Oryzias latipes: one gene and its partner. The protein of the gene in region 1 purifies or fractionates together with the protein of each later gene. This does not show direct contact. Links are inferred from orthologs where the notes say so. Each region holds a gene or a part of one and is shown on either strand. Other genes may lie near its edges. The genes, in order: dystrobrevin beta and utrn.

Region 1 (3,819 bases):
GTTCCACACATCCACCAGATGAACTAGGAGAAAAGCGTCACTTCCTGCTCAGAACACGGCGAACGGACCAGAACAGCGGCTCTTACGGTTGCATCTCTTCTGCACGAAACGGAGTTTGCACGCCGTCCTGTAGGTGGAGAGTCGGATCACATCGAAGTTCTGGGCTCCTGAAACAAAGAATCGGTTAAAGAAGAACGACAAACGACGTCCATCTGCAACAACAACGCACTCATTTCCATGAAGAGCTGACGCTTCTCCACCGCCGCCTTAGACCGCCGGCTGCCCTCCTCGATCATCCTGCAACGCAAACAACGCAAGGATGACACGACACAACTGTGACACAACAAAGTACTGCAACACACACACAACACAACTGTGACACAACACCCACAAAGCAACTATGACACAATACAAAAAATGCAAGGATGAGACAACATCTAAACACACCTATGACACAACAAAGTACTACAACACGGACAACGTAATCGTGAGATAACATATACATTTGCAACACACAAGGAACTATGATTGAACAGACACACAACTACACCAACAGAAACCGAACCCTGCAACATAACAGAAACAAATCACTAAAACAACACACAATGAACTGCAAAGATTAGACAAACGAATACACAACTTTAAATACAACAGACAGAAAACTGCTACAGTCACAGAACTCCAACCCGAGTAGAACACAACTACAACAGAACAACACAACTGCATCTTGAAATGTGACTAGCATGAAAAAGCTTTTATTTTGAAGTTCCTCTGGTGTAAACACACCTGCAGGGTTCAGGTTCTTCAGAAGTATTTCCTCCTCACTGATATCCGCCCTGAAGATGGGAACGTCATGTTCTAGAAGTTCCTAGCACCGGTTCCAAAGGTTTCCGTGGGAAGGCCGGTCCAGAACCTGCAGAGGAGAAAACCCAAAGAAACCAGAGAACGATCGATTCCTTTGAGGGAATCTTCATCCTCCACGTGCCGCTGACAAAATGCTGCCAGCAGGTCTCATGTGGGGTAGAACAGGTGAAATGTTGGCCCCAAGCGCCAACGTTTTCAGTCATTTTGTAGCCACAAAAGTATTTGATTAAAGAATTGAGATTATGATGAATTCTGTGTGAAAATCACCAGTTTCCCATAATATTGTAAAGACTATTTCCTCAAAAGAAACATGTCATTCAGAAAATATGTGTTGTTATCTTTTTGTATTAAGGACACGTCAGCAGTAGGTCATGTGACTGATTTGATAAAGGGGGGACCAAAGCAAGAGGGAGGGGGCGCATCCTGTGGAGACGGGGAAAACTTCAGGGAGTCTACGAGAGAAAAGAAAAAAGAGGCGCATCTAACGCATCTGTTTCTGTTTGGACTCGTCTGGACAATCGACTGGTGGGTGAGAGGATTCCTGTCGACGTTTGGATTTGGTTTCTTTGTGGATGATGCCTACGTGTCGGGAGTGGGAGTGACTGTGGACTCTGAGAGGAAGACGCTCCAGCACAGACATTAACGGGACATTTAAAGAAAACGACTGGCTGAGGATTAATATACTATTTGGGTTTTTCTGTTGTTTTGGTTTTCTTGTGTTACATAAAAGACAAAAGAGTCAAATCTGTTGTGTAAATATATCAATTTAAAGAAGAATGAGCACTAAAAGAAATAGATGATCGTTACAATTTGAGTTTTTAACCCAAGCAAATGAAAGAAAATGAGAAGAATTCACTAAAGGCCCACTTTTAATTTCTAAATCCTTCATCACTGAGGCACATTTCCAAAGATCCCAAATAGAGCAGACCATAATACTAAGGCCCCGGGAGAGAAGAAGCAGAGGATGGGGCCCCCCCTGGACCAAATGTCTGACATCTATCGCACACTGTGGCATCATCATCCAGCAGGACGCTCGGGCTAAACCGTCACCGATCACTGATGATGGACAGGGGGGGGGGCACGGCGGCTGGGTCATAGAGGGGGGAGGAGCTCAGGAGAAATGGAGGTGAGGAGCAGATTCCACACAGAAGAAACCTTCAAGGTAACATTTTGACATAGAAAACCATGAAAAAATAGAAAACGTTGAATCTTTGGTGGTTTCCTCTGTAAAAGTTTGCAGTGTGCATTTCCTGCTGTGAGGCCTTTCTCCAAAAGTGTCTAAGATTTGTTGTGGAGTTTGTCGACCTAGAAAGGTTATCTAGAAAGGTTATCTAGAAAGTACAATTCTGGAACACGGAGGGAGTCCATGTGGTCTTACAGAAGCCGTCGCATCGGTCAAACCAGAACAAAATCCTATATGTGGAGAAATGGAAATGTGTGTAAATCCAGGCCCGTTTCTTCAAACAGGCCAACTAGGCAATTGCCTGGGGCCCCAATGGGGGGGGGGGTCCTAGGGCCCCCTAAAGCTGCATGTTCAGCCCCTTGTGAGGAGAAGAAGAATGCCCGTTTTTACCTGTAGCTATTTCCAGCGTTTATTAAATCACTTTTGAGCCAAACATAAAATGCACCAATCAGCTGATGGTTTTTGAACATAGTGATGTAGCTGGCCACGCCCCCAAAGCTGTGTATTGATTGGCAGCTACCAGTTCCGGTAGTGAAGGGATTAAAGGACAAACCCTGTAACGATATGGAGTTACCAGCCATGTGGAAACACGCCACAACAAGAAAAGTGATGAAGACAAATGGACAAAGGATGAGGAAGGTGGTCATGAGGGGGGGAGAATGAAGGTTAGAAGGAGGTAGAATAATAATACTAAACTTTATTTGTATAAGATAGAAATCACAAAGTGCTTCGCAGTAAAACACAGAATATACAAAGAATGAAAAACCAATTTTAAAAAGACGTTTTATCTATTTTTTACAGAAAACACTGAGTCAGCAGATCTGAGGCTGAGAGGAAGGGAGTTCCAGAGGATGGAGCCACTGCTGCAAAGACTGTCACCTTTAGTCTGGAACAGCCAGCAGACCCTGGTCACATGACCTCAGGGACCTGCTGGTCACATGACCTCAGGGACCTGCTGGTCACATGACCTCAGGGACCTGCTGGTCACATGACCTCTGGGACCTGCTGGTCACATGACCTCTGGGACCTGCTGGTCACATGAGCTCAGGGACCTGCTGGTCACATGACCTCTGGGACCTGCTGGTCACATGACCTCTGGGACCTGCTGGTCACATGACCTCAGGGACCTGCTGGTCACATGAGCTCAGGGACCTGCTGGTCACATGACCTCTGGGACCTGCTGGTCACATGACCTCAGGGACCTGCTGGTCACATGACCTCAGGGACCTGCTGGTCACATGACCTCTGGGACCTGCTGGTCACATGACCTCAGGGACCTGCTGGTCACATGAGCTCAGGGACCTGCTGGTCACATGACCTCAGGGACCTGCTGGTCACATGACCTCTGGGACCTGCTGGTCACATGACCTCAGGGACCTGCTGGTCACATGACCTCTGGGACCTGCTGGTCACATGACCTCTGGGACCTGCTGGTCACATGACCTCAGGGACCTGCTGGTCACATGAGCTCAGGGACCTGCTGGTCACATGACCTCTGGGACCTGCTGGTCACATGACCTCTGGGACCTGCTGGTCACATGACCTCTGGGACCTGCTGGTCACATGACCTCAGGGACCTGCTGGTCACATGACCTCTGGGACCTGCTGGTCACATGACCTCAGGGACCTGCTGGTCACATGACCTCAGGGACCTGCTGGTCACATGACCTCTGGGACCTGCTGGTCACATGACCTCAGGGACCTGCTGGTCACATGAGCTCAGGGACCTGCTGGTCACATGACCTCAGGGACCTGCTGGTCACATGACCTCT
Region 2 (3,819 bases), on another chromosome or scaffold:
AGAGTGAAGGTGTTCAGATATCTGCAAAGGAACCTCTTCTGGTACAAGTAAGTCTTATTTTGCTTGCCAAAAAAAAAAGATGACTAATAAGCCTTTACAAATATATTTTTATCTTCTTTTCTCAAGGTTGGACAGGAGACCCGTGCAGAAAGACCCCAGCTTCCTAAAACTGTGGTCCGAACTGAAATAAAGGAGCTTCGGGCAGAGCTTCAGGACACTCTGCAGACTCTGCAGCAGCAGGACACAGTAAACCTGCAGGATGATGAGAAGGTTTTTACTTTCTTCCAATGTTTGCCTGGACTTTAAACGGAAGCAAAGAATGTTTGACTTGGGTGTTTCCTTTTTCTTTTGTGGTTTTATTAGATTTGACTAAAGTTTATACAGTAAAAGCTGCTATCTGATAAGACTATTCCTATAGTAAATGTTTAAAGATTAGAGTTTATTCAAAGTTTATGTGATAAAAAAATTATAGTTTAACACATAAAAACGTTGAGTGACCCAAAGGGAGGTCATTGCACCTCCCAAACCGCATTTCTTATCTAAAATGTGTGAATTTATATCCTCAGTGATTTGGATATTTGCAGATTTGAACAGATTTCTCCTTTTTAATGTTTTTAACAGACGGGCTTCAAATAGCTTTATTGAAAAAACTAAACCCGGCTTTTTCCTCTTCCTTCAGATGGATGCAGAGAAAGCCAACATGGAAGAACTGCTAAGAAGAGGAGAAGAACTGCTGCAGCAAACCTCAGAAGAAGACGAGAGGGAGGAGCTGCGGGTGATGCTGCTCCGGCTGCAGAGCCAATATTCTGCTCACAGGGTGAGACTCAGTTGTTTTCTCAAGTAACAATGCCTGTTAAGGACAAGCCTAAAGAAAACGGAGTTGTGTTTGGGCTTTAGGAGCTGATGATGCGGCGTTTCGTTGAGATGAAAGGGCCTTTAGAGGCGCCATCTTCTCACTTTGAGGAGAGAACATCAGAGCTGTCAGCTCAGGTGAGGGACTAAACAAGTATTTACTTAGGATGGTTTGGGTCTTTCTGAGAGGGATTTGGTCAAATATTTTTGGTGGTTTTGCAGGTGCAGATTCTTTTCACAGTATTTTGGACGTCAAGAACTTTTCTTCTTGTTTTGATGCAGGAGATGTCAGCATCAGGGCTCAGCAGCTCGCCGTCTCTGACTCCCTCAGACTACCTGTTGGAGATCAATAAAGTCCTCCTTGCTATGGCGGACAATGAGTTGCTCCTGAACTCCTCTGAGCTGAGCGGGGGCCTTTATGAAGACTTTTCCAGCCAGGAGGACACACTCCAGGTGCAACAAACACAAGCTGCTAAAACACACCTTATTCTAAAGATGTCACATAAATGTAGAATTTGCATGAACTTTTGTCGAGTGACTTTCGTTTGCTCGTCTTTTAGATTATCCAGGAGAGTCTGGAGAATCTGGGCGATAAGGTCACGGGGATCCACGAGCGGCACCCCGACGTCATCCAGGAAGCTTCTCATGCTGAAGCCGCACAGATCGGGGACGCTCTGGCACAGCTTGACGCAGAGTGGGATAGACTCAACCGCATGTACAATCATCGCAAAGGGTACCTGGACATAATTCATATGCAGACGCAATAATGGGAGATTTGGTGCAGATTCGAACTTGGATCGATGTTTTACAGAAAAAGGAAAAAAAAACAGTTTCCACTTTTATTAACTTGACAAATACTAGATATTCTGCACAATGAATAACATATGTTGAAAATGATATTTTTTATTTTCTTTCATTTTTTGCATTAATTTTTAAATTATTTCTTTCTATATTTTTTAGTGTGCAATCAAGATTTCTTTCATGGTAATGGTAAAGGAAAAACGGATAAAACAGACCATAAAAAGAAATGGAAGCATAGAAAAGTTAATCATACATTTCTTCCCCATTTTTTTCTTTTATAAGTCACTAGATATTACAATATTATAAATGTCATTTGTTTATTTTGTTTGAAACAAACATCAAAGGGCTCCTATTTATGCAGGTTAACATGAATAAAGATGTACAATCTTTTTTTTTTTTCTGGCATTCAAACCAAATAAAAATATAAAATGCAAAAACAAAACTTTATCAATGTCCCTTTAAATATAGAATTGTAAATGCCACAACCATTAATATACCGTTCATTTTATAAAGTCCTGAAATTATCTTTTTTTTTAATTTAAACTTAACAGTTAATACTTTTAGTCTAATCTGGATGAAATGTTAGTTATCTATGTTGTTTTGCAGGAGCTTTGACCGAGCTGTAGAGGAGTGGGAACAGTTTCACTGCGACTTAAAGGAGCTTTCTCAGTGGCTGACGGATGCAGAGACGCTTCTGTCTGAGGGCATGGGCGCCGATGGACCGCCGGACCTGAAATCTGCCCGGCAACAGCAAGCGGTCAGTACTTTCTGGTGCAGCGTTTGGATTTAAATGTATGCATTTTACTGGTTATTGGGATGCAGATTTTTTCCACATTTGTCTTGATAAATTCTTACTTATTGAAAGCATTTCTCTGCAAAGTGAAAACTTTAAGGTATGGGTAGATCCAGACCATGATTGCTTGTCATTTTCTGGGGAGAAATAAATGGGCCCTGTGCTGTACCTCATAAACACTCAACACATAAAGCGATCGATTAGAGAGCGCAAAAATGATGAGCAGTGCGGGGAGAGATCAGAAGGGACTTTTTAATTTAGTTTTGTTTGATTGCTAAAGTGGCATTTTGATTGCTGTGGGAAGTTCAAATCGGTGAAGCTGCTGCATCATCGCTGACCTCCTCCATCAGTGTGATTTGCGATGCTCTCCTAACCGCAGTACTCGCACAGGGTTTCACGGCTACTAAGAAGCAGTCGACGGATCAGAGTCGAGGGGAATTGAGGGATCTATTAGCTGACTCACGGTGTGTGGGACTCCACAATCATTCACCTTAACGCATCTGTTCTGGCTCACTAAATCTCTCAAAGTGGAAGGTAGCAGTTTGGAATCCTAAATATCGGCTGCGTGCAAATTATGTTGAGGTGTAAATAAGAAATGTGCTTGGAGAGATTTGAATTAGAGAGGAAAAATGATTAATTTGGTGTAATTTATTCTTTCTGCCTTCCATGTTAGGAGTTGGAGGAAGGCCTTGCCAGCCATCAGGCGGTTCTTTCTGGACTGAACCGCACCGGGAAGCAGATAATTGGAAAGCTTTCATCTCCTGATGGATCGCTGCTTGAAGACAAGTTAGAAACTCTGGGTCAGCGGTGGAGAGCAGTGCAGCAACAATTCTCAGACAGGCAGCGCAGGTAAGCATGGAAAAACAAAATCATAAATCATAAAATAGAACAATAAAGTCCTGCGATAAAAGTTAATTAAACAGCTGTTTATGTAGAAATAAATCAACGCTGCATAGGGGTAAACGATGGGTGTAAAACTTTATATTTTATTTGAATTATGTGAATTTAATTAAATACACAAAAGGTATTTTTTTGCAGATGATACTGATTTGCATGGCTTTGGAAGAAAACTTTTTGTGTGCATTTTAGCTAAATGTAATATATAAGTTGGCCTAAATTTCTCCTTATATTCCCCAAATAATTCAGAAAAAGGAAATATTTAAAACTGGTTTAGGTTGAAATCAGATTGAAAACATGCAAGCGATTGAGAATGTGGCCCTTGTAATTCATCATAAATAGCCCATTTGGAAATAATAAAGGAAATAAAAAAGAAAGACAATTACAATTTTGTAACAATAGTAAAGGCCCACTCTAATAAAAATTGTGTTTTTGGTGTTTTTAACGTGTTTTTGTGGCATTTTTATGATGATTGA

Evidence for each region.
Region 2: the proteins of dystrobrevin beta (region 1) and utrn purify together in Homo sapiens (affinity purification with mass spectrometry; 3 studies listed by BioGRID and IntAct, with this or other methods). This does not show direct contact. The link is inferred for Oryzias latipes from reciprocal best matches to the Homo sapiens genes DTNB and UTRN.

What each region holds. Positions count from the first base shown.
Region 1 is NC_019880.2:107,500-111,318, forward strand, and holds part of dystrobrevin beta, read right to left. Parts: intron 914-3,819; 5' UTR 787-913; intron 298-786; 5' UTR 297-297; coding exon 230-296; intron 168-229; coding exon 87-167; intron 24-86; coding exon 1-23.
Region 2 is NC_019882.2:8,810,632-8,814,450, reverse strand, and holds part of utrn (utrophin), read left to right. Parts: coding exon 1-47; intron 48-126; coding exon 127-270; intron 271-679; coding exon 680-817; intron 818-897; coding exon 898-990; intron 991-1,134; coding exon 1,135-1,305; intron 1,306-1,412; coding exon 1,413-1,585; intron 1,586-2,259; coding exon 2,260-2,410; intron 2,411-3,119; coding exon 3,120-3,295; intron 3,296-3,819.